4 linked regions of the Schizosaccharomyces pombe genome follow. The gene in region 1 interacts genetically with each later gene. Each region holds a gene or a part of one and is shown in the gene's direction. Other genes may lie near its edges.

Region 1 (6,185 bases):
AGTCTACTTTTTCATGAGCATCTAGCTTTTGCTCTTCAAAGCAAAAGCATGCAACCTTTGAGAAGTAAACAGCGGCTTGACCTGGTACTATATTATAAGTTGCAACTCCTACTATGTCATGGTCGGACGTATTTTCAGCAGTATAAAACCCTAGAGCAGTCTCGCCTGGAAGAACATATATTTCACGCTGCTGGGGCCAAAGCTTCCAGCTAAGGTTTCCTGCAACGTCGCCATTGAAAGTAACTCTGATTCTTTTATTGTCTTTACGAGGAACCATTCTTTCTGCATTCATACGACTTTGGTCGGTATTAAGAGTGCCACCATAACCTGTTTTCGAACAGAAAAGACGATATAAAGGTACAGCCGCATATGTCAAGCCCAACGCAAAAATGGAAATTGCAACCAGATAATAGATAGTGGTCCTTTGATTATAGTGGAATTTATCTCTCGAATATTGTCGTGAAATATTCCTGGTACCAGAGATGCAATTGTAACAGCTAAATGAAGTAAAAATACAAGGGAAACGATGTGAATTAAAGTCTGCAAATCGAGAAAAAGCTTTATGACGATTAGTCGAATAGAATCGTTTTCCGACAAAAATAGGATCTGCAGTTGTATTTCTTTCAACTTTGGGTTTATTATATGAGGGGGGATTGATTGAATAGGTAGAAGAAGCATCTTTTAAATGTTTAGTAATTTTACTACTTGGAGAAGTACTTTGAACTTTGCCCTCTAACGGAAACAAGTCGCCCCAAGCACTTTTCCTAGCTAATCGATAAGCTAGTTTACCTTGTGATTTAGGAACAATATTCCTTCTAAGCCGAGCATCGCTATCACAGACATCAATTATGACATGTCCATCTCGCTTCAGTGGAGGTCGAATTATACGTGGCCAGTTTTTAAGAGTTGGAGATGTAACATTCACATTTTCTAGTAAATCCTCATCATTCTTGAACCTTTGTGTGGTATTATTAAGCGGTCTAGTTATACCCTTTTGAATAACAACATAACTGTAATGAGAGCGATCCGAGGATCGACGATGAGAACGAGGGACATATAGACGGGAAAATGGGGATAGGAAAAAATGTTGTTTGAAAGAACAAATATTTGCTCTTACCCCATTTTCTATATCAATGGGGCAGCGACCATCGTGGGGACAGGGTGCTACAATATGGGCATTGAATTGTTTATCAGAAGTATTTTTACTTTTTTGCAATAGAAATGTTCTAGCTCTTTGAATCAAACTAAAGCCACGCTTTGTGCCTCGCTCGCAGAGCACCAAAAGACCACCATCATTTGACACGAGACTCCAAAGCGAACGAAGATAATCAAAGAGTTCTTTCTCCGATTTCATTTCAAGAAGCTTGTTAGATGCAATAACTAGAGTGTATGAATCCTTTTTACCCAATGGTAGACGGTTAAGCGTAACAGGGCTAGTTGGATTCGGCGAAGTTGACGGGTAAATGTTATGGTGAATATCATATATGATTTTTTTCAAAAATGGGTTCTCCTCAACAATTGAAACTGAATTAGGTGTGGGAAAGACTGAATAACTAGCTAGAGCACCAATACCTGGACCTTTACCGCAATCCAGTATATGTTGAGACTTGCAAGACACATCACTGTTTACAATTTTCAAGTCAGTCAATACGCTGTATAGAGAAGCATATTGATACGGCATAGACTGATGAATATAAGCTAAAACTTGGGGATCTGTCATAGTCCGAGTAGATTCATCTTTGAATGGCGCAGACAATGGAAGCTGAGATTCCGTAGCCAAATCTTTTTTAATATCATTAATAAATTTTTTAATTTGTCCTTTTTCGCTCTTTTTCAATAAATCGTCCACATATAGATTAAATTTTGTATGCAAACTAATATCACCACTTTTCTTTTGATCCTTTACCAAAAAGTCGAGTAAACTGGAAGCTTCTGGACGATGTGAAGAGATCAATTCGTTTTTATAATCAGAAAAGTTGTTTTGAACAGCTTGAAAATTTGCATTATACCACCTAATGGTAGTGGTTGTTCCATATGGTATGAGACATCGCTGATTTTGAAAAGTAAAGCAATTCCGTAAATTATAAAGAAACAGAATTTTATATCTGCATGTTAGAATGGGCATATGTGCTGCTCAAAACACCAATTCACCAATGAACAATGGGATTTGGGGATAAAGCACTGATCTGTATATTGTGTAGAGTAAGTGCCTGATTAAGTGGCCGCAGATGGTGTTACTTGCGTTGACAGAAGAATGAATAGTACAATTTCCTACATATCTATATGTTTTATGTTTATTAAATTAGTTCAAGGATAGGCAATTCTGTCTGAGTGAATATTCTCCCAGTTTTAGCTTCTTATACACTTCAAAAAAATGCAAAACTTTGAACTTCTTTGAAAATAAGAACAAGTAATAAATTTTATGATAGTAAAGGAATTATCAAGAAATAGCTAAAATTAGTTTTAGCATTACACTTGATCAAGATAGACTCTTCACATTGATAGTTCTACAGATACCTCTTTAACCTTACCATTCTATTATACTAGGGTAATCTTCGATTTACGAAACATTCCTTGTTAACTAACTACAAACGAAAAGTTGCCGGAAAAAAACAGCCTACATTCCTTGAGTATTTTCATGAAAATTCGGTAATTCTTTTCCATTTGGTTTATATGAGAAGTTTGCAATTGTACAATAATAATTCAAAATGCCCTCGAAAAGAAAAAGAAATCCTTTACAATATCAGACTTCAGGATCATTAGATGAGGAAACAAATCAACGCAGCGCTTTTCCACAAATCGACAACAATAGTGCTTCAGAATCTTTGGAATATGATATACCACTTGATGGTTTAGATTATTTAGCAACTGTGAGGTACGAACATTTATATATGAATTTTTGTGAAAATCGAAATTTGCAACATGAATGCTTTAATCTAATCATTGTAACAATAATTGGGCTTTTTACTGACAAGTTCAGAGAAGAAGCTCGCAAGCTAGTTCCATTTGTAGCGGCGCGTCGTGAGCCTGAAACAAGAGAAACCATTCCTCTTCGCAAATTGGAAATCGAGGCCGGCAAAAAAAGCTTTGACCCGTTTTTACGATACTTACTAAACATAATTGATAAAGAAGGGGAAAGGCTTGAGCAATATATGGAATCTTCTTCATTGGACGCATCTATTTTACCTAAAAATTTACAACAATGGCGTGTATATATTGAGCATAAAGCTCCTTGTTGGGCCATATTAGCAGTGGTTGATTTGGCAACTGTTTTGGAGATCCTAGAAAGCTTGTCCAGCTGGCTTGAAAAGGACGCAATTGATTTACAGGTTGGTAACAAGGATCTCATGCTACTTTGCTGGTGTATTTTTGTTCATTCTAAAATTTGCTAACATTTTTCTAGAGTCAATGGATTTTTTGCTTTTGTTATAAACTTCCTGAGCTTTTGAATGGAGAAGATATATCGACCCTACGTTCAGTACTCAAGTCTTTACGAAGTACGCATACTTCTTTTCCTGCTCTGCAGATGTCAGCATCTGCCCTTCAAGCAGTCTTAGTTTATCGATATGGACAAAAAGATCTCTTTCAAACATAGAGTCTATAAATCTTGGTCGAAAAAAATTTAGGTACACATGTTCATATAGCATACGTTTGTTTATAGGGAAAAAATTAAAATTGATAGCTTGTTTTAAATATGTTTTTAGGATATTATTACTTTTTTGAATGAAAACATATGCTACACGGATATGCTGGGCTTTGCATCTTTGAACATGTGATTAAGCAAGCTTGGAGATAGCTGCAATAAACAATTTGCCTATTACAAATCGATAGATATATTTTAAAAAAACACGTTTGAATTGAGATAGGCAAAGTTATTTGTTTATTGATTCACATTTTCATTTTACAAAAAATGGCTTACTATTTGTTTAGTACGTGCATTCGTTTTGCTGTCTGCATACTTGTCGAATCGAGGGTTTCAATTATGTTATTACATGATAACTAGCAACTTTCTTTAATTCGCGCCCCATCTTACGAAATTAACTAATAAATTTTTACTGTCTTTTTCGACCGAGTGATTTTTTACCCATATGAGGTTTTTCAAATTCAAAACTAATTGAACATTGCAATTATTCTTTGGGAAAAAACAAAAGTCAAATAAAGATAAAATAAAAAAGAAATAATTACAACCTCACTGCCAAGAACCCCTTCGTGGTTAATTGAATCTTTTGAGTTCGAGCAATCAAGCTCCTTTTGTAAAACTAAATGTCACTAAAATTGCTCACACTTCAGTATAGCAGTCTAAATGGAGAGCTCAATTTTTTCCTTGCTGATAAGCGGACTCTGATCTCGCTACGTGAATACTTTCTTTCCTTCGACTAAACGTCAACTTGTCGAGACTTTGATGAAATAGTGGCAGTTAAAGCCAGAAAGCTACTGAATGTTAATTCATTTCTTCTATAGTTGCCATGTACTAAGAATCACGCCTAAAGCAATTTTCCCTAATAAATTCCGATGCTAAACATCCCTTAAATTACAAAGTTTTGTCAAACGATGGAGCAATCGTCGCTTAAAAAGCGCAATTTCAAAGGCATGCATTTCAACTTGCTTTGACCATGCTCTCCCAAATTTTGAACGAATATTTATTTATTAAAAAATTTACGCTACTTGAGCTATTCAGAACAATCAATAATACATATCTAATACATTTCTCTTGCTTTTCAACTATATAACGAGGCTTTCCTTCTCGTTATTAAACTTATCGCAAACTACGATAGGAAAATAAGATTATTTGAGAATTATTTTTCACTATACGATATAGCACACATTACGCCGTTTGGATATTGAATGTGTTTACGCTTAAAAAAGTTTATCCTTTGCAACTAACATTGTAATTGTGGTAAACGGGTTTGTTTGAAGTGACGGACAATGGGAAGAGTTGCCAGAAAAAGAAAGCATCATAGCAATGGAAATCATGCTTTGTTTAGAACTCGTGTTTATGGGAGGTATGCAAATTTCATGGTCATTCAATCATCGTTTGGTAAATTAACAATTGGACAAATAGAGACTTAGATCAGATTCACAATGACTTAACAGAGTCTGAGAAATTTGATAAATTACCTATAGATCCGGATTTGCCAGGTTTAGGTCAACATTATTGCATTGAATGTGCACGGTACTTTGACTCGTCTCAAGCATTGCTGGTGCATAAGAAGGGAAAGGTTCACAAACGAAGGTTAAAAAATTTGCGTGAAGAGCCGTATACACAAGAAGAAGCAGAAGCTGCGGTGAATATTGGACAGCCAAAACAGAGTGTAGCTTCCAAGCTTGCTGACAATAGTAACGTTGTCATGGCGGACTAAACTAGAGACACATTTACGAATGCTAAGTTAGTCAGCACTTTTGCTTTTGTTCCATATTCGTAGCGCATGCTCTTTATTTAAACAGATTTTTATATGTCTCATTCTCATTTATTCTGCTATATTATCATTAGCAGCGTTTATTGGTAATTTTAGTTGCATCCATGTTTGGATTACAAATTTACAACTAATACCTTACCATTGGTTACTGGATGTTAATCTAGCTTCAAGAGTGAGCATCTCAAACTACCTTCACGTTATTTTGGTTTCTTTGGATACATGGTGTTTTAAATAAATAAAATTTTTTTGATAATTTTTTCATAACGCATTCGCTATCATTTAACAAAATCCTCGTAAAAAAACAAATTCATCAAAGAACGTTTCATTAGACGCATAGATTCATTTCCTATAATGAACTTTCCGTAGCCACTACCATGTTACAAATACCATTAGTTAATTCATAAGTGCCTGGCGTCTGTAAGATGAACCAATAATAGAATAAAAGAAGTGTTACTATTGCATCCTTACCTATTTAACCCTCAAATCAACAACTTGAAGTTTCGAGTTAATTTCTCTAACATGCCCAGGCTGAGCAACCATCGTATAAACTTTTCCCTCATGTGGATGAAAAAGCCCAGGTTTTCGACACTTGACTATAGTTTGTAGTCCCTCAGGATCTAATAAACGGAAGATGCCAGAGCTAAAAGTCGTTAATATATGTAGAAAAAAAAATTTTTTTCTTACGTATTTTTGGAAGGAGCCATAACAATTGCAATAGCTTCAGGTAGCATAAGCTGGTATGAACAATGAGTATGCAAATCCACGCTA
Region 2 (8,513 bases), 1.8 Mb from region 1:
GAAACAAGCCTGCAGCTGCTGTTACTGGCACTTCGTCCAATTCTAACAATGCTTCAGCTAAGTCTGATGGCCCTACAATCACTGAATTGAACGAAAACGAAACTGAAAAGTCTTCTTAAGTATCTATGAACGCTGGACATTCAATGATACTTCTAAAGTCATCATGCTTGTTTAATTATTTCGTCCTTTCACTGGTTGATTTAATTTGATAGTTGTAGAATTAAAGATCGATGTTTTTTTTCCTAGTTTCAATTTAATCGGTTCAAATTCATTTCCTTTGCATTTTTAGGTTGCTAATAGCTCAAGTGTTACACAAACCAGTAGTTCTTGGATTGTAAAATTGGGCTATCTATAGAATAATATAATTATAGTAAGATAAAGTACGAATAATTTATAGATACATGTATGAAATGAAATACTTATTTACACTTTCCTCCTTCATTACTTTTTAATGAATCCTTAGTACGCTTGTCTTACAAAATATTCGTTCGTGCTCTTATTTTTCTTGTGTTTTACCTTTCTAGGTCTCAGTGTAAACTGGCATCATCCACGTTCCCTTAAAACTCTTATAATGTCCCGAGTGCTTCAAGATGCTGAATTTATTTCTTTGGTAATTTTACTACTTATTAATAACTGCTAACATGAACGATTGAAAGAACTCAAACGATGTGAAAGTTAATAAAGGTGGTTGTGCAGCAGTGGCAACATGGATTAAAGAGAAGCTAGATTCGTTGGGACCCCAATTCGCTGAGTGGCAGAATCACGAACTTCACCCTAAAACCCGAGACGTCTCTACCTTAGATTGGTATGTGTGGACGCTTGAATGTTTTCGTAGATTAAATAAAGATGAGCTGCTGAACATATACACTTTATATTTTTTTAATACTTCATTTCAACAAGTTTACCCTGTTCATAATGTATTAACGTCAAATCTTTAGGATTTTCTTGGTGGACATTTTGAATTTTTCATTTTGGTCAGACGTTGACGTTGAAGACAGTGGAAAACATTCCAAGAGATTTTCTATTGAATACAAAGGGAAGCTTTACACTGGTTATTGGAGTCTATGTGCAGCCATTAACAAAGCATTAGATGCTGGTATTCCCATTACAAGCCCTGCTTTTTATGCTGATGAAAAACAATGTCCTGATACCCTCATTGCTTCTGTATTTGACAGTGCTACCGTTGAAAAAATACCGCTTTTAGAGGAGCGTATAAGAATCATGCGAGCTTCTGGCCGTGTACTGGTAGATTCTTATCATGGCTCATACTGCGGATTACTCAAAAAATGTCATAATCAAGCGCAGAGACTAATAAAGCTATTGTTGGCTGATTTCCCTGATTTTAGAGATGTATCTGTTTACAAAGGAAGAGAATGTTATATGCTCAAACGTGCTCAAATTTTGGTAGCAGAAACTTGGGCTTGCTTTCAGGGACAAAATTACGGTCGATTTGACGATATCGATTCTATCACAATGTTTGCTGACTATCGCGTTCCCCAGATATTGTGGCAATTAGGATGTCTGAGCTATTCTTCTGATTTTAAAAAGCGTTTGCTAAAAAATGAATTGATAGCTCATAATGATCCTATGGAAATCGAGATGCGTGGATGTAGCATTTGGGCTGTTGAAAAGATTCTTCAAAACATTAACAGAAAAGATGTTAATGCTATCACAATTGATTTTTTTCTATGGGATCTTGCCAAAGAGTGGCAAGCTAAGGGTTATAAACCAAGTACTCAGGTCGATGAAGTTACAATCCCTTGTATTAGAGTGAGAAGTATATACTATTAGAAAGTATTTAGGCTTATGCTGGTGGCATTTGAAAAAATATACTTATATAATATTGACCTATTGTTAATTTATTCTCTTTTTAACATAGAGTGAGAAAGTACTAAAAACAAGCTGAAATAAATTAACGGAAAAACATGGTAAAGTTAATGTTAGCATTATGTGAAAGCTAGTATTAATGAGAAAATGCATTTGACATTATAACCACGTTTAAAAATAAAATAATAATATCGGGAACTTCGGTCAAAGCAATCAAAGAAATAAAATTTCGTTGGGCTATGCTCAATTAATTAAAATGTTAACGAAGAGCAATGGGTCCAGCCGATGTATAACCAGCGAGAGTTCTAACTCGCGTTGTGAGATCAGTTAAATTTTTGTGTGTCCCCAAAACAACCTTTAATTGATCGTTTTTTAAAGGTAAATGATTGATAATTTCTGCATGAGCAAACAAAGAAACATCTAAGAAAGAAGGTGATTCGTTATTGAAAAACCATTTGTCCGATCCTAAAAGTTCTGAAAGAGCTGAAAACGCCTTCGAAGCATCCTCTAAAATCTAAGCTTTGTTAGTACAAATCATGCTTCAAAATGCTCGGTCTAGAAGACTAACTGCTATCAAAAATTATTAAACGTACCGCATCAAAATCAAGAGTTGATTCGTTCAACTGAAGACAAATTTTTCGTTTAATTTGAGAAGGTAACCCGATTGATTTAATAATATTTAAAGGCCAAGACATGTTAGGTAACCATTTTTTTTGAATTTCAGAAAAGTTCTCGTTGTCCAAATACATAGTTAAGAGAATTGCCGTTTCTACTTGATTTATCAGCAAACTCATCCAAGGAGAGATTTGCTGCAGTGTTGACTCATCCTTTAAAAAATATTGTAAAAGAGATGGATTGAGGACTAATTTTCGAGATTCAATTTGAATAAAAGGTACTTTCTCATCTGGAGAGGCGTGGTTAGACACATTTAAAAAAACAATTGAAGGGTCGTTTAATTTTGCCCAGGTTTGCCATTGAAGACTATTAACGTCCAGAGCCTCTGAGTTCAAGTCGGAATTCCACATAGTCAAATACATGACTGTTTTCGTTTTGTAATCTTCATTTTCGCCCGGGTAAGGATTAGAAAACGTTATTAAAGGGAAGCGGGAGAAAATGGAATGAAAATAACTCGAAAATTTTGTTAGACCGCCCATCCTTTTCACTTGTCACTAAGTTTGCTAATTCTAAAGAGTTTACACCAATACCATCAATAGTGTGCTTAGCGAAATTGTTAGATTAAGTGGTAAAGCGTGCAATTTCTTCAAATTTCTACCTATATTGTAGTAGGAGAAAATATTCTGTTGTTTCTACTATACCAAGCATTAATTCTGCATACACACTTTTCTATTTTGCGTTGGATTTTCACATCCTCTAATAATCGATAAACTCGACAAAAGATTGTATTTATTTTATTTGACATAAATCATAATATGGATTTGTCTTTATTTTCAGATATCAAGGATGTCGTCGAGAGGGACATGAAAAAAAATTCAAAAGTTGTGGAAAATTCTTCTGCTAGATCACTAAAAAACAAAACAGAGGAAAACAAAACTATTGATAAACATAAAAGTTCCGTTGGTCCTAAGGAACCCAAATCATCATTGGAAAAGCCTAAAGCGAATCGGAAAAGAAAGCAATCGTATGGTTTACTCCATGATATTAAAGAACTCGGAGGTACCGAAGAGGATCTGGAGCTGATTGAAGATGTAGAAAGCGATGAAGAGTTGGAATTCGAAGAACCCAATCGTAAACAACCCAAGAAGGATGGGACTGATGCTGTAAGTCAATATCGATGTTTCTTAATTACTTCTTTCAAAAGGTTCTAATATCCTCTGTTTTAGTTTGCAAATGAGTTGAATTTGTTCGCCAAAAAATTGGGCTTTTCTAAAAACAGCTTTGATGCTCGTGCTCTAGACACTGAGTCAGAAGATGAAACCGAAATCGAAAAAAGTTCGTCTGAAAATTCTGATTCAGTTGATGTCGATTCGGATGATGAGTAAAAAACGCTTGACAACTAGTTTATTTATTTAAAAATTTTCCTTCTTATTATAACTTTATAAGCAATGAGTGTATCTGTTAAAACTGATTGGGGAATCCCAATTTCTCTGTAATCTTCTCGTTCACTTTTCAGATGCCATCACTCATGAGTTGTTTAAACCATCATTCAAGAGGAGTCTTAAGGGAATGTAATGTTTAACTAACATTATACTGAGGGATAGGTTCATACATATTACCTGAAGGAGTTGCAATTGTGTTGGACCTTTATTGCTACACTTTCATTCATTTTAATTATTTGTAAAGTAAGGATAGGAATTTAAGGCGGAGCATTCTTTTTTTATTAAAATAGCGGTCATTACGGGATTAATATAAACATTATATGTCAGTATATATTTCCTTCATCAATTTCGAAGCATTTATGCTTATTTGCATACTAAACCGTTAGTTTAATGTTTGTTTATTTTATTATTAACAGTAAAAGTATCAGGTGTGTTTTAAGAAATATGTTAAAATGAGACAGTGGCCGCATGTGCTTTCTTTACGCGTGTACGCTAGCTACTTCCTCTTATATAATAATCTGCCATTATCCTCTGCCATGGTACATGATGGAGTTCATCTAATTAGTATTAAAACAATTGTAATTATTTCTATTATAACATGATAAATTAAAAGCTAACTGATCAGCCTTGCCCTAACACTATATATTATGCGAAGTATCAGGTTCAGCGAAAGGACAATGAGGATGCTGCTTCCCTCTTAGAAGACAAAGAAGCTTATCTACGAAATCAGGATTGCATTGTTCACGCGAAGAATGACTTACTTTTTGTATATGATTTTCAAGCCATTCCATCTATTCCTGAGGAATCATCTTCTTTTATGCTACTTAATTCAGGTGCATTTTCCAGATTAGCTCTTTTTCAAAAAGATGAATTAGCTCTTCTATTAGACCTGTATATAAACTTTCTTCAAGGATTGAAAAAAACGGTGTTGTATTGGCTGTGCAAAGAATACAACTTTGTTCCAATTTATGGTGTCCTTCTTCCTTTAAAATTACACCCTTCTTTCGATACCCAGCTCTGGAACATATATGGATATCCTGTTGTGGATTTACAGCTTTCTGTCTTATCGAAAGGCCATATAGAATTTTACTTAAAGCCTACAAGGCAGACGGTATATCGTTTGTCGGAAGTGGATAATTTGGTTAAAAAGTTAGACACTGTCATTCGTTTAGCCCCGACTGGTTGTTTGGCAACATTAACCTCTGTGCATGCCAACGCATCTGCTCAAACTGTTGATGCATTGAAACACCGCTATGGATTCTCTCTTACGACTACTTCAAAGTGGGTGGGTGTTACCTTAGAATCTTCGGCATTAGAATTTTCCTGGCCTTTAGAACTTTGCTTTTTGGAAACGTCGGCCCTTCGAATGAATGATGATTCATTATCTAGCAACCTTACAGATTTGAATAACCTAGTCCTCCCTTCAAACGTCGTAAACAATAAAAAGGAATTAACTGAGTTCGCAAATGAAGAAGCGGAAGCTTCAGATAAAAGAAAAGAAGGTTTTACAGAAAAGGAAGAGACTGCTGATGCCGTTGTAACCTTGGTTCCTTCTCATAGTTCTTCTCCCGTTAATTATTCGATAAATTCTGCAAAATCTACACCTGCTTCAATAAAAGTAAATGAAGAGATACTTGTTGCTGATCATAATGTTTCAGATGACATACTAATGGAGGAAATAGACGATGTTGGAATAACAGAGGCTGATTTTGATTACTTTGACTTACCTAACGTTGAAGAAAAAGTTGAGATGATTGAGCCTAATTTTGCAAATACTATGACAACCTTAGATAATGAGGAAATCAACACTTCCATCTCTCAATCAAACACCAGTCCAAATTTGAATACTCACGAAAATATTCCAAAGCAAATGGAAATTCAATCGGATGATAGAATGGTAACCGAAGATTTAAATCCATACAACGTCGAAGTTGATATTCCTGAAATTTCTTTAAATATTTCAGATTCTAAAATCCCTACATCTGCGTATATGCCTTCATACTATTCTGCGGTAATTTTTCCCTCGTCTATCTCCAGTATTTTTCAGAAGTATAACTATGGTGGTAAATATTGGTGCCCTTCTCCTTCTTTGTCAACTGAAGATTTATTTGAATCATTTTCGGTCGCTGAATCGGTAACTAGTACAGATGAAGACATCTGCTCTACAAACTTTATACAACAAGATTTTACAATGGAGTATAATCACGATTTTTTTTCATCTTCTAAAACACCCACTAATATCTCAGAACAAAGTAACCCCGATTCAAATTATGATACGCTATCGTTAGCACATCAGGTTCTTATGAATGAATCCAAGTCAGCAAATTTTGATTTCAGTTTTTTAAAATCGTTAGATTTACAACCCACTATTACCTTGGGAAAAAATGACTTGTTAAACGCTATTTTGTCTCAAAACTTATGGTTTAGATCGTTACCTTTTTGGAAAAGCATGACTACCAGTTTCATGATGTCTCAAGATGTTTTAAACTTTTCTTCGTACATGCGGAAGCCTATTAGGGATTATTTAGAGAAAATATTGTTAGGTGAAAGTTCGGCTGTTTTCTTGAGCAAAAGCCCAGAAAATTATCTGTCCTCGATTAATAACGGGCATCACGCATTAAATGACAATCCTCCATCCCAAGTTAACTTTTCTGAAACGTTGGTAAACTTCTCCCAACCTCCTCGTGTTTTGCTCAAATACAACGAAAAAAAGTTGTCTTTAGATTCTTCGGCACCAGAGAATTGGATATCTTTATGTCTTCAACCGTATGGTGAGAGCAAAGATTTTGAAGTTTTTTTGCTCTCTTCCAAATCTCCCGACGTAAGCAGCAAGGCTATCAGCTTTTTTTATGATGTTCAGCTGGCTTATGAAAACTGCAAACTTGGAAAACTGAATTTATCTGAAACTTCTATTAACGAAAGAGTGATGGGATTCAGTACAAATATTAATGAAACAGATAATTATGATGATAATGAAACAACTCAAAGCGATACAGCAACCTCTTATGAACAACTAGCGAGTGTTTGTGTTAATGAATTAAGCGGAAAAAACGTACTTTTTTTTTATTTTTTAGAAGATGATTCCGAAAAACTTTTAAAGGCTTGTCAACATTTTATATGCGTAAAGGACTCAATCAAGAGACTTGGGGATAATAAATTTGAAGATAAATCATTACGAATATGCACGATTCCGAATTCTATTTTTGATTCACCCAACTCGCATACTACAAATTCGAACTCTTTTTTTACAAAAGTTTCACTCGACATTTATAATAATGATCCTTTATTGATGGATGGTTCATTAAAGAGACGTGAACCGGCTTTTCTCCTGAAAAAGCCCTTGTTATCAACTCTTAACTATCAGCTTAAAGATATTAATCCCAGATCTTCAGCTTTGGGAGAGTATGCGCTACATGTAACGTATACAACTGTCGAAGAGCACTTGCTTATTTGCAATTGGAATGATTCCTATGGAGAATTTGAAACTGAGAGACGCTATTTTCTCCAAGACCTTGAAATTGAAGATGCTTTACAGCAAATTTTAGAAGTCACATTTACGTTCCTTAACTCAATGCACATGGATTGGATAGTAATCGTCATGAAGATTGGTGAGATGTCTGACGCAGAGTATCTGTTTTGGGATCAAGCAATAATACCTGAAAACTTACAAGGCAATGTTTCTCTTACAGTTGGTTACTGCTCAGCAGAGCACGGACCTGGCTCAACTTCGAAAGTGTTTTCAAGGATTCCATATTCGGCTTCAAGCACAGTTATTCGTAATAATAGTAGTCATGAGCTCTCTTTGGTTGCGTTTATCCGAGAAATGGCAATGCCTGTGCCGAACGATGAATTTAAGAAAATTTCTACAATCTTAGCTAGAGGATACTTAGCATTAGACGAGGACGAATCTTATTTACCACTGTTAAGCATTCATCTTTTGATATCTCGAAATCATGATCCTTATTTAATGTTAAATCTTATTTTAAAACATTATTTAAGTATGATTTATTTACAGTTTCGAACGTATGTTTCTTTTTCTTCACTCCCATTACACATTTCTACCGTTTTATACCAGAAGCAACTATTGCAGTTTATGGCATCAGACATTACACATCCTGTGACCTCTTAGTTTTTGGGGTATTATTAATTTATACAGTATAAGTTTATAATGCGCTTGTGCCAAAATTGGTTTACTCTTGTTATCGTTTTTGTTTACTAGATTGGGAAGGTTGACATAGTGAAAACACAGTGTTTGTTTACTGTCGACTATTTCATATTCCGCCATTTTTAACCATGAAATTAGCCAACGCAAAACATAATGAAGAAACATAAGTCCTCAATTAAGTGTTTTAAGATTGACCAAATATCTCAACAACCTGAAACCGATTTGGTTTTTACTAAAAGGTCGGAATGCAAAGTAAAAGATGAGCTATTTTCAGATAAGGAAAACTCAATCTTATGTAAACAGTTGAAGGAATTAGATTTAGTTGTTTCTTCAAACAAAGAGTTTCTAAACGAAAAGACATCGGATCAAATTTCGTTTTTGAAACCAAGAGAAACAGTAGTTGAAAAAAAATTAGCAAATGGGAGTATTTGGCCTAATGAAACTTCCCATTTAGATAAATCTAG
Region 3 (7,764 bases), on another chromosome or scaffold:
TCTAATAGATGTTATTTTAGGTTATAAATCCACAAACTCACGGTATTGGAAGAAACATGTTTACTACTTATGAAATTGTTTGTCGGGTAGGTACCACTGAAATTCATCTTCTGATAGCAGATTATTAACTCATTTTTGTAGACCAATATGCCCTATTTTCGTCTACATAATTCTAGCGTTCGTCGACGTTACAGCGAATTCGAGAAATTTCACGATATGCTTGAAAGAGAGTCCGGTCGTGTTTCAATTCCACCACTTCCAGGAAAGATATTCACTCAAAGATTTAGAGATGATGTTATCGAAGAACGTAGACAAGGTTTGGAAAATTTTTTACGACTGTAAGTATTGAATGTTAATTTTGCCTTATTGCCCCAAAGAGCGTTTTAAATTGCACAAAAACTAATACATTATTATGTAGAGTTGCTGGACATCCTCTTATTCAAACCCATTCTCGTGTTTTATCTTCTTTTTTACAAAGCCCGGAATTCAAGCCTACGCCATAAACCCGCCGCTAACTTGTTTTTCTCCATTTTGCCCTCCAACTGTTAATTTTTGTCAATCTTTTTTTTTATTTTAAAAGAAAAATTTGGAAATCAATCTGTTACAAAGTTTAATTACCATTTAAAATACCTTAGGTTGTTATGAAGTAAGTTTTCTATTGAGGCTAAAATATAGCAAAAATCCGATTCATCTTTTCGCTGTTTTCGTTTTTTAATTTTAAAATTAACAAAAGTAGCTCCATTCGTCAAATTGAGCGTTTAAACGAGCAAGAGTTGGATAAACCTTTTAGCAGTTCTTGGCACCAAGATTATAGTGATAGTGCATATATTTACATCGGCAACTTAGATTTTGATTTGAACGAAGATGATATTTTATGTGTGTTTTCTGAGTTTGGCGAGCCAGTGGATATTAATTTAGTGCGCGACAAAGAAACCGGAAAATCGAAAGGCTTCGCCTTTCTAAAATATGAGGATCAACGTTCGACAGTCCTTGCCGTTGACAATATGACGAATGTAAAGTTACTTGACAGATTGGTTCGTGTTGATCACGTTGCTAGCTACAAAGTACCGCAAAAAGAAAAAGAACCTGCCAACTTAGTACCGTTAGGCGAATCAGGTAGTTCTCTTTCAGTGAGTACAATCAACACTTCTAATTTACCAGACCATGACTACAAAACGATAATACAAAACGAAGTTGAACAAACACTCTCACCCAAAGATGAAAAAGATTTACTTGATCCCATGCGTGATTACATTCATAGAGAAAAGCGTAGAAAGCTCAAGCATGAATCGTCGGACCGTTCAGATAAATCAGATTCAAACCGTCATTCCCGTCATCATCGTCGACATTCCCGTAGTCGTCGACATCGTGATCTGGATGGATAGCTATCATATTGGAGTATATGTTTAAATTTACTTCCTTCGTAATGATACTAGGGGTATGGTACACGATTTATGATGATGAATGATTTTTTATTTGATCAATATAAGAAAACTATTAAAAAGTGTATTGTTAGCATTTTTTTTGGTGTTCTTAAACATACTAAATTTAATGGAGGACTTTGGATTTAAATTACAAGATTGCTGTGGAATTGAGAAATTATAAATGACTTGTTTACAAATTTGTTGTTTGCAGTTTTTTTGCTAGTTTAAGCAACTAGTCAGGATAAATCGATATATTAATTTGCTGCAGCAAACCAGTTAAATGTGCTTCTTCCCAATTGGTAAGACTAATAATTAAGTGTTGTGAAAATTCTACCAAAACCACCTTATAAATAAATATATGTGTATTTTTAATATTTGCAAATTATAATTTGAGTCCTCAAACTATTGTATTTTCCATGGTATTCTAATGTGCTCGAACTACAGCTAGAAGTAATCTTTTAAGGGATTCTAACGATGTCAATGATATCAAGTTGTTCCTATGTATAAGCTGTGAAAGCCTGTTTAACTTCCTTCTGCGAAAAGCAAATATACCTTTATATTGGCTTCTCATAATCATCCTTAATAGACTGAAAATGACCTCTTATGAACTTTCACGAGAGCTAGGTGGCCATAAACAAGATGTATGAAGAAAGGGTTATTTGTTAATACCATAATCATGAACATGTTCAATAACAAATATATATTAGGTTCGCGGTGTTTGCAGTATTTCCAATGAATTGATAGGATCTGCCTCTCGAGATGGAACTTATAGTGTCTGGGAGCAAATCAATGGAGAATGGACGCCCCATTTTTACGAAAATCATGAAGGGTTTGTCAATTGTGTTTGTTATGTGCCGGCGATCGATAAAAACTCTAGGGGTAATTACTGATATTGATTTTATTTATTTATTAACTTTGACAAAGGTTACATATTTTCAGGCGGACAAGACAAATGTGGTATTCTTCAAGAAGTAGGCACTAATTCACCCTCTTATTATTTGTTTGGACATGAGTCCAACATCTGTTCTGCATCTGCATTAAATAGCGAAACAATTATTACTGGAAGCTGGGATAGTACGGCTAGAGTATGGGCTTTAGGCCAATGTAAATATGTACTTAAAGGGCACCAATCCTCAGTTTGGGCTGTTCTTGCCCTTGGTGAGGATATCTTTATAACAGGTTCAGCCGATAAATTGATCAAGATTTGGAACGGAGAAAAGCTTGTCAAATCTATCTTAGCACATAACGATTGTGTTCGCTCGCTTTGTCAAATTCCTGGAGGTTTTGCTTCCTGCTCTAATGATGGTGTTATTAAACTATGGACTTCAGATGGTGAATTCTTATATGAATTGCATGGCCATACCTCGTTTGTATATTCTTTAACTTATATCCACAACCAGCAGCTGATCGCATCTTGTGGTGAGGATCGTACAATCAGGATTTGGAAAGGTAAAGAGTGCTTACAATGTATTACTTTACCGACAACTAGTGTTTGGAGTGTTTCCTCCCTTCCAAACGGTGATTTAGTTTGCGGTTCCAGTGATGGTTTTGTTCGCATTTTCACAGTGGATAAGGTTCGAGTTGCACCTACTGAAGTACTGAAAAATTTTGAAGAAAGAGTTTCTCAGTTTGCCATTTCGAGCCAGGAAGTTGGTGATATTAAAAAAGGGTCACTGCCTGGTTTAGAAATTCTTTCAAAACCCGGTAAAGCTGACGGGGACGTTGTAATGGTTCGTGTAAATAATGATGTTGAGGCTTACCAATGGTCTCAAAAAGAGAATGAATGGAAAAAAATAGGCCAAGTGGTCGATGCTGTTGGTAACAACAGGAAGCAATTATTTGAAGGAAAAGAATATGATTATGTCTTTGATGTTGACGTTGCAGATGGTCAAGCTCCTTTAAAGCTTCCTTATAATGCTACCGAAAATCCATATCAAGCTGCTAACAGATTTTTGGAGCTGAATCAACTTCCCTTGTCTTACACCGACGAAGTAGTTAAATTTATTGAAAAAAATACTCAAGGTCACAGTTTGGAATCGAAAAAGGAGCCGAACCTAGAGAGCCAATCTTCAAACAAGATTAAGACGACCATATTTCCAGTTTCTCAATTGCTTTTCTCTAATGCTAATGTTCCGGCAATGTGTCAAAGATTACGTTCCTTAAACAATACAAAGTCAAACCCTTTACCTGCTAAATCTATCGACAGTTTAGAACGTGCTTTGTCTTCAAAAAAAATTACAGATACAGAAAAAAATGAGCTTTTGGAAACTTGCTTATCTATCCTCGATTCATGGTCTTTGGCAGAAAGGTTTCCTGCGTTAGATGCTTTAAGGTTACTAGCAATCAATTCTTCTTCTGATTTAGCTCCAATATTTTTAGAAGTATTTAGCCGAGTTGTGAAATCTGTGCCTTCTAGTGGGAATTTTGAATCGATCAATGTGATGCTAGCGTTACGTGGTTTGTCTAATGTTGTCCCAAATATCACTGATGCTGAAGGGGTATCGAAACTGATGGATTGTTTGACATCTACTGTTCCGCAAGCTAGTAGCGCCAAGGACTTTAAAATTGCGTTTGCAACATTAGCAATGAATTTATCAATATTGTTGATACAACTAAACCTCGAGAACACTGGAATTGAACTTTTATCAATACTATTTTCATTTTTGGATGATCCATCTCCTGACAACGAAGCTTTTTATAGAGCATTAATGGCTCTTGGTACACTTTGCACTGTACCCGATATCGCTTTAGCAGCTTCTCAAATATATCATGCCCAGTCAATCGTCCATGGGATAGCGGAAAGGTTTTCACAGGAGATGCGCTTTGTAGACGCTGAAAAGCAAATCCTTTCACTCTTTTAGGATAATATTCGGAGGTTTTTTTTAAAGAAACGCGTTGCTTACTTCAAATCTTACTTTACGATTAAATGTCTCTTATTTTAAACGGTTTAACATTAGGCTTTAATGACCTAAATATATTAATAATTCTTCGAAAACCCAAATTTTAATATTGTATATTATAAGAACAAAAGTTAGCAAAAGAGCTTAACGCACTTTAGCATATTCCATTAAACTTCAAACTGTAGCAAAAAATTGTTTGTGGCATTCAATGAATGTCGCCTTTGCCCATTTGAAAAAGTAATGGCGGCTCGGAAGAATCAAAAATCCCCAAAACCAAAGGTTGCTTCTAGTAAACTTAAAAATATCAAAAAAAGTTCAAAAAGGAATAACTCGCAGAGTAGCACAGAACCGGTATGATAAGCGAAATAAAAATAATATTTTTTTACTTACATTTAGAGAAAAAATGCCACTTCGCTAGATTCTAAAAAGACGACAAAGAAAGGCGTTGCATTGCCCGAAATTGCTGAGAGAGAATTGACCCAAGAGGATATTGAATTTTTCAACGAGAATCCATCCTCCCTCAAATATCTTTCTAGTATTAATCCAGAGGATTTAGGCAAAAAAGTAGAAAAAGGCCCTCGGCCTGATATCTATGATCTGAAAAAGTCTCAACAGTTTGAGTTGGACACTTCACGATTGAGCTCTGATGAAGAATCCGTACTTGATTACTCGAAGGACTCTGAAGATGAACAAGATTATGAATTACGACCTCGAGTTAGCTCATCTTGGAATAATGAAAGTTACAATAGACTTCCTATTAAGACTAAAGATGGATTATTACAAAATGTGGTTGCTGATGTAAACAACGGAGAAGAGTTTCTCTCAGAAAGCGAGTCTGAGGCTAGCTTGGAAATTGATTCGGACATTAAGGATGAAAAACAAAAATCATTGGAAGAGCAAAAAATTGCTCCTGAAATACCTGTGAAACAGCAAATAAAAAACGACAAGGAGGCTTTAGGAATACAAGCCCAGCAGCTGTTGGAAGAACCAGTTGAAAATCTTCATCTGATTCGGAATATATTTGAAAAGTTTGACTCCCCATATATCACCATTAAGAAGCTTTCACTTTTAACTTTGCTTGCTGTTTTTCGAGATATTATTCCCGGCTATAAAATACGTCCACTGAGTGAAGAAGAACAAGGCACAAAATTATCTAAAGAAGTTGCTCAACGATGGGAATACGAGCAAACATTACTTAAACATTATGCAAAGTTTCTTCAAACTTTGGAGACTATATTGAAATCGTTCTCTTCAACTCTGGATGAAACTCAGCTGTCTTTATATCAGGTCGCGGTTCGTTGTTGTACAAAGCTAATTGAACAGGCATCACATTTTAATTTAAGTGAGAAGTTATTTGCATTGGCTGTTCGACAAATAAGCCATAAAACCAAAAGACCTGGATTTGATGGCATTATCAATTCTCTAAAAAATATATTTGAGGAAGACAATCTCGGTAAAACCTCATTGAAATGTGTTACAATTTTATCAAGGATGTTCAAACAGAGAAATTACGACGTTCTTCCAGATGTGTATGATCTTTTTTTGAGTGTTAATATCCTTAATGATATGAAAATAAAAGACGAGGCATGGCAGGATGATACCACAAACTTTAAAAAACGTAAAAAAGACTTGCCATATTTGACTAAGAAAGCTAGGAAAAATTACAAGGAAACTAAGAAAATCACCCAAGAGATGAAGGAAGCTGATGCTGTCATTACAGCTCAAGATAAAGAAAAGTATCAGTCGGAAATTTTAAAAATAATATTTATAACTTATTTTAAAACACTGCAATTAAAGGGGAAACTGATTGGTAATGCTCTTGAAGGGGTCGCCAGATTATCGCATTTACTTAACATTGAGTTTCTTGGCGATCTATTGCAAGTTTTGCGAGAATTGGTGATGGATGATACTGTATTTTTGCCAAAAGACAAATCGGGAGTTCAAGCAACTCGTGAAGCACTTCTGACTGTTAGCACAGCTTTCGAAATTGCTTCGGCTCAAGGCGTTGGTAAATTGAACTTGGATTTAGATCTTGGTCTTTTCGTTCAAAGACTTTACAAAATAATATTCCCTTTTTCTTTAAATCCAGATGCTGATTTAAATCTTAAGATTAAGCGCTTAAAGGATCCCGATGCTCCTTCTAAACCTTTTGTAGTAAATGCTACCACTGAGATGGAAATGTTATTAAAATGTTTCCAAGTCTTCTTTTTTAAGAGTAAAAATATAAGTTCTTCAAGGCTAAGTTCTTTTTCCAAAAGGCTTGCTATTGCTAGCATGCAACTGCCAGAACACTCTGCTTCTGCAGACTTAGCTTTGCTTAAAAAGTTACTTTCTCGCTATTCAAAACTCTCTCGGTTACTTACTTCGGAAGAGCAAATTGGTGATGGCATTTATAACCCTTTTATTGAAGACCCAGATTTGTCTAACTCTTCAACGGCTGTACTCTATGAACCATTTCTTTTGAAAAATCATTATTCACCAGCTGTATCTCAATCGGCAAAAGAATTGTTAAAAAGCACTTCGTTGTAGAAATATGTATTTTTTTTTGGATAAAATAAATACACATGGTCATGGAATGGGAGACTTTTTCTATTTAAAATTTCTTTAGATAAAATGAATTATAATATACAAATATGGAGAAAAATATTTCGGTTTTCAAGATACATATAAATCATAAACCTGCTAGTCATCGGCGCGGTTGAAAATATCAGTTTCATAAGTAACGCCAGTTGGAAGCTCGGAATAAGTGTTCCCTGTATGAGTCTTGCACTTTTTAGCATATTCTATTATGTCCTAAAGTTAGTTAGTATATTTCGTTAACATCAAATGGTACAAATAAAACATACTATCTTGGTTAGAACACCATGTAATTTCCCATGATTCAGAAGGGCTAAATTTGTAATGCCAGCATCTTTAAATAATTTAAGCATTAAAACTGGTGGAGTATCATAATTTAAGGTAAATGTGGTAGGGTGAATATAATCAAACAGGTCAAAAGTCGAATCAACAGGTGCTGAAGCACTTCGAAGCGGGTCTAGTCCAGTATTGTCAGTTGTTTGCATATTAGAACTCATTGGACGTCTATTCAGTAATTCAGAGACTTTATTTCTTGAAATGAACCCCTCAAAAAATTCAGTATCATTTTTTAAAACAACAAAGAAAGACTGTGAAGAATCATGCATGGCTCTCTCTAATTCCTCAATGGAACAACTTCTAATCGGCAGCCTCACCAGTTGTTCCGGAGAACGTACTGGAAAATTCAAGGGTATTGAAAATTTTAAAGAGTTGGAAGAAGGGAAGTAGGGTATGTTTCTAAACTGAATCCAAGCATCGTAAATGGATGTTTCAATAATGCTATCCGAGACCCATTTACTAATTAAAGTAGCTAGCATAAGAGGGAGAGCAATGTTTAAAGCTCCTGTTAGTTCAAAAAGAATTAC
Region 4 (7,907 bases), 3.0 Mb from region 1:
TATATGGACAGATAGTAAGACTCGCTCCATGGATTGCAAGGCACGTGAGTTCCGTGGATGTTGATAGTGCAAAATAATTAGAAGTTTTACATCGGGTAAAAATTTACTTGCAACCTTATTATCGTGCACTTATTTGGCAGATTGGACTTTACTATTGATTTGACAGACCCTTCTCTAACGTGTTATAGCCGGAAAGTTCGGCTTAGGAACACTTGCCGGTAAGTATACTATTCAACATAGCAAAGCCCTAAAGAAAATCTCACTAAAACCAAGTAAAATAAAACAAGTTAAAAAAAAAATAGCTAAAGACATCGTGACAAATTGAATAATATGTTTCATGAAATTTTTGTGTCAAATGATATTGATCAAAATGTGATACCGACTAAGTCAATCTTCATTTATGTGTATATGTGTGTGTAATTTTTTTAATTTTTTTTCCTACTGACCCAATGCGCTCTTTTTCCTATTTGATGGCCGAAAATTTAATTTCACAAATTTTGCTTCCATTTTCTTGTGACTTTACCATCAGAACTAGTGAGTAACGAAATATGCTAAGTTTTGGATAGGAGGAAATTTTACTAGTACGAAAAAATCTCGACTTTCCTCCATTAGCTGAACAAAGAAATATGCTTTTCCCAATCCGTATGCGGTTGATGTAACGGAATGTGTAAGGGAAATGACTATCTTTTAATTTAAATCTATTTTACGTTTATCACACTGACTACTCGGCTATGAAGGGGAGAGAATGTAATAGCGATAAAATTTTCAAATGTATTTCAATTACTTAGAAAAGATATTCAGTATCCTTTTTCTTTTTTGAAAGCATACAAATCATAAATAAAAACTCATATTGTTCATATACTGTTTGTCACATAACCCTTCGTATTACTAATACAAACAACGATAATTCAAGCCTTAGTAATTAACCTAGCGTTGCCAAATATCAACAATACAAAGTTCCGAATTGCCCTTGTAAATACGGATCTGCAAACTGGGAATTTGAGAGAAACAGCAAAGAGCATATACAAGTTTGCCATTGGGAATACAGGTGAGCTCCGACTCGTTCTTTAAAGAAAGCTATTCAGAAAGTGATTTTGAAATCCGAAATATCTTCTCATACGTCTCTGTATAGGTCTTCCTCAGTCACATTTGGATATCAAATCATTCATCGCATCTCATCATCATTATTCCTATAGATCCCATTTTTACTTATACCACACTTTGTCCTTTCTTTATCCTTAATACATTCATCCGTGGCTGCGCAAAACCAGTCACTGCCGCTGCTGTTAGACTTCGTAAAAACGTATAAGCAACGCTGGTGAAGGAGGAAAATACTTTGGTTATTTCTAGCAAAGTCAACAATACCCAAGCCCCGCGGAATTTTATCCGGACTTCGGCATTCATCCTCTCGCCTATAGAGGAGTAATATTACGGTAAACAAGCAACCACTTGTCTCTTCCGGTCTTTAAAATCAGCAATTCTCCTTGCTTTCCCTATTTACCATCCCTACTTCACAATTCCTTGATTGCTGTTTTTTTGTAAAAATTGGGTTTATTTTTCAACAGTAATCATTCCTTTGCTTGTAAAAGCCAGGAATTTTGGCTAGTGCTTTTAGCCTGCTGAAGTTTCATCACCCGTGAACGTGTGTAATTTAATTGCCTTCATTCGATAATCAGTTTTCACATTCTTTTGCTGTAAAACGAGAACTAGAAGCAATTGAGCCTTTTATTCGTCTTTTGAAGGCTTTAACGTTTGTTTGTTGTATTTTTAGAAAGCTCGAAGGTCGTATAGCTTTCCAACATTGTAGCTTCTAATTCACTTTATGAACTGCTTTGCAATTAGAAACCGGTAGGATTTGATCAATTGGCTTTATATATAGGCGCTATATTTTCTTTCTTTTTACATTTCTTTCTATGATGACTCGGATGGAATTAAGACCATTGGAAATTGGCTTCTCTAAAGCACTCACAGAAGTAGCTCCGGTAACTTGTCAATGCGAATGTTGGGATCATAATCTTTGCAGCTCTCAAGCTAGTGAGATGGATTTAATTTATCAGTCTCAGGATACCCATTCTTGTGCATCAAAGCAAGACGCCGTTTTTCAGTTGCTGAGTGAAACCAAGATCCCTGTTCCCAATCGTTATAGAAAAATTTCACATCGCTTGAGTACTCTATCTAATAAAAAAACTCTTAAATCACAATTAGATCGTTTTTTGTCTTCGTCCAAAAAATTACACAATGATGATGTTAATAGAGGTGATTACTGCTTTCTTCTTTCTACACCTGTCGAGTGTTCTGCTTCTACCAACTCTCATTCTTACGACTGTTTGTGGAATTTTTCGTGTAATTCATTCCCTGAATACTCCTCCTACTCTGCTTCGGAAACGTCTTCAGTCGCTTCTTACTCTTACTATTCGGGGCCAAATCCTGCAACTCCCAGCTCTTCCTCTTGTAACCTCGTAAACGCAAATAGCCTTGATATTTACTTGAATATTAACAACTTAAAAAAATCCAAATCTGTTCCTCGTTTAAGAGGTCAATGTATGTTCTTTTAAGATTTTTCAACCTTTTCTCTTATCTTTTATTTATTCATCGTTGCTAACAATATCATAGTTATGGAGCCCGTAGAGCATAACCATCCACTTTCTAAAAGTCTTGAGGAGCAATCCTCTTTTTTGGAACAATCAAAGGATGCTTCCTCTAACTTGACCGCCTGCAATAGGAGTGGCTCTAGTTTATCATCTAATTTCTACTCATCTAGGTTGTCCAAAAAAACATCTTTAGCATCTTTAAATAAGTCTCGAGCTTCTTTACAGCATAAAATAATGTCGCTATCTCGTAATATCATCAGACGTGTATTTCACAAGCCAGAAGTGCATTTGGATCCAAGTGCCTCCATTTTAAATCTCTCATCTTCGCATGGCGAAAGCAACCTGACAAATGGTTTGCTTTGTCAAAATTTCAAGCTTTTTCAGGATGATTGGTTGATGGAGGATTGTGCGCCAGATGCCAATTTCACTTTGTACACCCCGCTTCAACCCTGGGAAAAGCGAAGTGTGAAACCTGAAATCAGACGTCCTCGATTAAATCCTAATTTTTTCCGAGTATTTGTTTTAGAAGCTCAAATGCGACGAGCTGGAAAGCTATCAGCAAACACTGCTGGCCGAGCCCAGTTAATTTACCTCCCAAAGCCTGCCGTTACCTTCTCCACTAGCCCTTTGCATGTTGAATTGTAAAAATTTAACGCATGACTTATATACATTTGCATTCTTCCAAGCTGGTTATATTTATTTTCATTTTTTTCTCACCCAATACTTTTTTATCCCTACTGTCTTTATGGACAATCGACTCACAATTGTTTCTTTTTGTTGTATATGATTTTTTTTTTAAAGGAAATGGGTTTCGCGATACTGGGTTGAATCCCAATTGCGGTTAATATTACATAAAATAATTCTCCCATAGTCCTAGATCCTGTCTTTGAATATGAGCAAATAAAAGAATTGAACAAATCATGAATGCTTTTCTCTCTTAGATGATATTTTGTATGCATAAGTCTAATTATATTGATTACGATAAGACTTAAAAAGTAAGCCTTTGTATCCTTTTAAGCAGTATTTGAATTTTCTTGTATCATATTTTAGGTAGAGCAAAAGATACCAGTTTGTAGAACTTTATGTGCTTCCTTACATTGGTATATTTCAGGCACATAAATATTCTTCAACTTACAATTCTAAGTATTTTGTTTATACTAAAAGGAGCTGAATAACGTTTATACAGTGCTGACATTGAAATCTATTTGCTTTCTTTGGAATATAAGCGCATGCTGAGTTACTTTCGCAGGCCAAGCCATATCCAACCACCATTTTTGTGCCAAGCTTTTATGCAAGGTTAATTCCTTGTACTGCTTGTTATGTTATAATATATCAACATCTTAACAGTTTTCATATCTTCCTTTATATTCTATTAATTGAATTTCAAACATCGTTTTATTGAGCTCATTTACATCAACCGGTTCAATGCAAACAGTAATGATGGATGACATTCAAAGCACTGATTCTATTGCTGAAAAAGATAATCACTCTAATAATGAATCTAACTTTACTTGGAAAGCGTTTCGTGAACAAGTGGAAAAGCATTTTTCTAAAATTGAAAGGCTTCACCAAGTCCTTGGAACAGATGGAGACAATTCATCATTATTTGAGTTGTTTACAACGGCAATGAATGCCCAGCTTCATGAAATGGAACAGTGCCAGAAAAAACTTGAAGATGACTGTCAGCAAAGAATTGATTCAATCAGATTTTTGGTTTCCTCATTAAAGTTAACGGATGATACTTCTAGTCTCAAAATTGAGTCTCCTTTAATTCAGTGTTTGAATCGTTTGTCAATGGTAGAAGGACAATATATGGCACAGTATGATCAAAAGTTAAGTACGATTAAAGGTATGTAATCGTCTTTAATTTAGACTTGTGTTTTAACTGATGTATAGAAATGTATCACAAATTGGAGTCATATTGTAACCGCTTAGGAAGTCCGTTCGTTTTACCTGATTTTGAGAATTCATTTTTATCTGATGTATCCGATGCTTTTACTGAATCTTTGAGAGGACGCATCAACGAAGCCGAAAAGGAGATTGATGCGAGATTAGAGGTTATTAATTCCTTTGAAGAAGAAATTTTGGGTTTGTGGTCTGAACTCGGTGTTGAGCCCGCTGATGTTCCACAATACGAACAATTGCTTGAATCCCATACTAATCGACCAAATGATGTTTATGTTACTCAAGAACTTATCGACCAACTTTGCAAGCAAAAAGAAGTTTTTTCCGCTGAAAAAGAAAAGAGAAGTGATCATTTAAAAAGTATACAATCAGAAGTTAGCAACTTGTGGAATAAGCTTCAAGTTTCTCCCAATGAACAAAGTCAATTTGGCGATTCATCAAACATTAATCAAGAAAATATTTCATTATGGGAAACTGAACTTGAAAAACTTCATCAGTTAAAAAAGGAGCATTTACCCATTTTTTTAGAAGACTGTCGTCAACAAATTCTTCAGCTTTGGGATTCTCTGTTTTATTCAGAAGAACAAAGAAAGTCCTTTACACCTATGTATGAAGACATTATTACAGAGCAGGTTCTTACGGCCCATGAAAACTATATAAAGCAACTAGAGGCCGAAGTTTCTGCTAATAAGTCCTTTTTAAGCTTAATTAATCGCTATGCCTCTTTAATAGAAGGAAAGAAAGAGCTTGAAGCTAGTTCTAATGATGCCTCTCGTCTAACACAACGGGGACGCCGGGACCCAGGTTTACTTCTACGTGAAGAGAAAATCCGTAAGCGACTTTCTAGAGAACTTCCTAAGGTTCAGTCGCTGCTTATACCAGAGATTACAGCATGGGAAGAAAGAAATGGAAGGACGTTCCTTTTTTATGATGAACCACTTCTCAAGATTTGCCAAGAGGCCACTCAACCAAAATCATTATATAGAAGTGCAAGTGCTGCCGCAAACCGCCCGAAAACAGCAACTACAACGGACTCTGTTAATAGAACACCTTCTCAACGAGGGCGTGTAGCTGTACCTTCAACACCAAGTGTTAGGTCCGCTTCTCGAGCTATGACGAGTCCAAGGACACCGCTTCCTAGAGTAAAAAACACTCAAAATCCAAGTCGTTCCATTAGTGCAGAACCGCCATCAGCAACCAGTACCGCCAATAGAAGACACCCCACTGCTAATCGAATTGATATAAACGCTAGATTAAACAGTGCTAGTCGGTCTCGAAGCGCGAACATGATAAGACAAGGGGCAAATGGTAGTGACAGCAATATGTCTTCTTCACCCGTTTCTGGAAATTCCAATACCCCTTTTAACAAGTTTCCAAATTCTGTATCTCGCAATACACATTTTGAATCCAAGTCACCGCACCCAAATTACTCTCGAACTCCTCATGAAACGTATTCAAAGGCTTCATCTAAGAACGTCCCATTAAGTCCTCCAAAGCAGCGTGTAGTTAATGAACACGCTTTAAATATTATGTCGGAAAAATTGCAAAGAACTAATCTGAAAGAACAAACACCCGAGATGGACATTGAAAACAGCTCGCAGAACCTTCCTTTTTCTCCTATGAAGATATCCCCCATAAGAGCATCACCCGTAAAGACAATTCCATCATCACCGTCCCCCACTACCAACATTTTTTCTGCTCCACTCAACAATATTACAAATTGTACACCGATGGAGGATGAATGGGGAGAAGAAGGCTTTTAAGCTTCTTATTTACCTAATCGATCAAATTTAAATATACATATTTTTGCATATGAATACAGCATATAGATAATTCATAAAAGTTTATTAACTGAGGTCATAATTAAAAGACTATTTACACCTAAAAAAAAACGTGTATCAATAGAGGGAAAAGAGAAGAATTAAGAACAGAAAGTAACCATAGTTTTGTTAAAATAGCAATGTAAAAAAATATTATGAAAAGAAAACGTATAGCACATTTTGAAATGTAAAAGAATCTGAGAGAGCGTGTGAATATCTAGCAATTACAAGAAGATGTATTATTCAAAGGCTTTGAAAGAAGCAAAGGTTCAGAGAAGTCATTAACAAAGTCATCTCTCGAGCTTTCATTTTCTAAAGCTAAACGACTGACTGTTTCGAAAAGGTCAGTAACGTTTGTATTTTCTTTTGCACTAGCTTCAAAATGAATCATATTTGATCCATGTTTGGATTTGCAATAGTCAAGAGCTCGATGAAGAGATACGGCTCGTTTAGACGCGTCTTTGTCGATTTGATTTCCAACGATAATGAAAGGGAATGCACATTCATCTTGTGAAGTTTGATATAAAAATTCTTGCCTCCAGTTTTCTACTGAGTCAAAAGACTTCGAGTTATTCACATTATAAACAATTACACAACAATCGGCCCCTCTGTAAAAAGCCATTCCCAGGCTTTGAAATCGTTCTTGACCAGCAGTATCCCAAAGCTGTTTATAATTAGCAAACGAATTTAGATGGGCGGAACTTATATTGGAACTTACCTGTAATGTGACCAATTTGTCGTCAACCACAACGTCCTTGGTTAAAAAATCAGCACCGATGGTAGCTTTATATTCGCGACTAAACTTTTGATTGACGAACTAAAATGACGATGTTAACAAATTGCCAAAGCAATACTCATAGAGAAGCTGATGTAAAGATCGTTAACCATATTTGAGCTAGTATTTAATAACAAAGTGAATAAATTTTAAAAGCAATCACCTTGTAGCGACAAATAACAACTTATCGACATAAAATCAATGGGAAATTGCAGTATTGGATTTTACAGCTCAATACAAAAACCAAAAAGAAAAATATACTGAACGTATAAAATTTAACGCTTCAATTGATAACCACTACACCATCAATGGTTGAATTCGAGGGTAATGCTTAAAAAAGCTCGTCTGTACGATACGTCGACCACATCAGCAACTCCCCTAGCATTAACATACCTGATTCATTAAACATGTTTTTCCAACGCCACTATCTCCTAATATAACAACCTTTAAAAACACCCTTTTCTGAGCCGACATTGAAGTATATTCTGTCGTACCTGGTAGTAAGAAGTTCAGCCCTTAGAATGTCCATCTGGGACAGCATTGATAGTGTCTTTCAGTTTGACACATTACAGTAAGTAGCATTACAATACTTCGTTGCATAGCGTTGTTTTAAATACGAATCTTTACCGTAAATTTTTATAACAATATTTAACGAAAACGAATAACTCACTAAGTTTTTAATAAGATACATTTGCTTTCAATAGACATTACAGTGAAGGATCTAGTTATCTGACTACTATCCTGGGAAGTCAACTAGTACTGTAAGCAAACTAATAATTTGCTTTTACATAAAGAAAATCAGTGAATTTGATTTTA

The links.
Region 2: mutations in bud20 (region 1) and med13 together harm fitness more than expected from each alone (negative genetic interaction), as found in Schizosaccharomyces pombe (2 studies listed by BioGRID).
Region 3: mutations in bud20 (region 1) and lub1 together harm fitness more than expected from each alone (negative genetic interaction), as found in Schizosaccharomyces pombe (2 studies listed by BioGRID).
Region 4: mutations in bud20 (region 1) and ase1 together harm fitness more than expected from each alone (negative genetic interaction), as found in Schizosaccharomyces pombe (2 studies listed by BioGRID).

Annotation. Positions count from the first base shown.
Region 1 is NC_003424.3:4,902,918-4,909,102, reverse strand, and holds bud20 (zinc finger ribosome biogenesis protein), read left to right. Parts: upstream 1-4,869; 5' UTR 4,870-4,926; coding exon 4,927-5,003; exon of another isoform or gene 5,004-5,062; coding exon 5,063-5,360; 3' UTR 5,361-5,685; downstream 5,686-6,185. Other genes in the region: rsm22-cox11 tandem protein cox1102, read right to left, coding at 1-2,125; yip11 (SMN complex subunit Yip11/Gem2), read left to right, coding at 2,709-2,875, 2,981-3,329, 3,404-3,595; sst2 (AMSH-like ubiquitin-specific protease), read right to left, coding at 5,886-6,057, 6,102-6,185. UniProt on the Schizosaccharomyces pombe protein: Involved in pre-60S ribosomal particles maturation by promoting the nuclear export of the 60S ribosome.
Region 2 is NC_003424.3:3,094,575-3,103,087, reverse strand, and holds med13 (mediator complex subunit Med13), read left to right. Parts: upstream 1-4,420; coding exon 4,421-4,462; intron 4,463-4,497; coding exon 4,498-8,013; downstream 8,014-8,513. Other genes in the region: snd302 (pho88 family protein), read left to right, coding at 1-119; protein qng1, read left to right, coding at 572-610, 657-805, 939-1,791; mtx2 (metaxin 1), read right to left, coding at 2,087-2,341, 2,421-2,981; protein Noc12, read left to right, coding at 3,258-3,605, 3,669-3,827; protein mug74, read left to right, coding at 8,203-8,513. UniProt on the Schizosaccharomyces pombe protein: Component of the srb8-11 complex. The srb8-11 complex is a regulatory module of the Mediator complex which is itself involved in regulation of basal and activated RNA polymerase II-dependent transcription.
Region 3 is NC_003423.3:3,542,759-3,550,522, reverse strand, and holds lub1 (WD repeat protein Lub1), read left to right. Parts: upstream 1-1,959; 5' UTR 1,960-2,017; coding exon 2,018-2,065; exon of another isoform or gene 2,066-2,131; coding exon 2,132-2,303; exon of another isoform or gene 2,304-2,348; coding exon 2,349-4,285; 3' UTR 4,286-4,395; downstream 4,396-7,764. Other genes in the region: sorting nexin Snx3, read left to right, coding at 21-86, 142-338, 419-503; RNA-binding protein Cwf29, read left to right, coding at 642-646, 737-1,385; Noc2p-Noc3p complex subunit Noc3, read left to right, coding at 4,565-4,675, 4,721-6,853; SPOM_SPBC887.02 (ClC chloride channel), read right to left, coding at 7,007-7,117, 7,171-7,764. UniProt on the Schizosaccharomyces pombe protein: Acts as a negative regulator of vacuole-dependent ubiquitin degradation.
Region 4 is NC_003424.3:1,874,346-1,882,252, forward strand, and holds ase1 (antiparallel microtubule cross-linking factor Ase1), read left to right. Parts: upstream 1-3,843; 5' UTR 3,844-4,016; coding exon 4,017-4,440; exon of another isoform or gene 4,441-4,487; coding exon 4,488-6,259; 3' UTR 6,260-6,381; downstream 6,382-7,907. Other genes in the region: SPOM_SPAPB1A10.08 (uncharacterized protein), read left to right, coding at 1,914-2,541, 2,614-3,236; GTPase Ypt71, read right to left, coding at 6,534-6,980, 7,035-7,133, 7,485-7,565. UniProt on the Schizosaccharomyces pombe protein: Required for anaphase spindle elongation and microtubule bundling in both interphase and mitosis. Has a role in spatial and temporal regulation of septation and cytokinesis and ensures equal partition of segregating sister chromatids.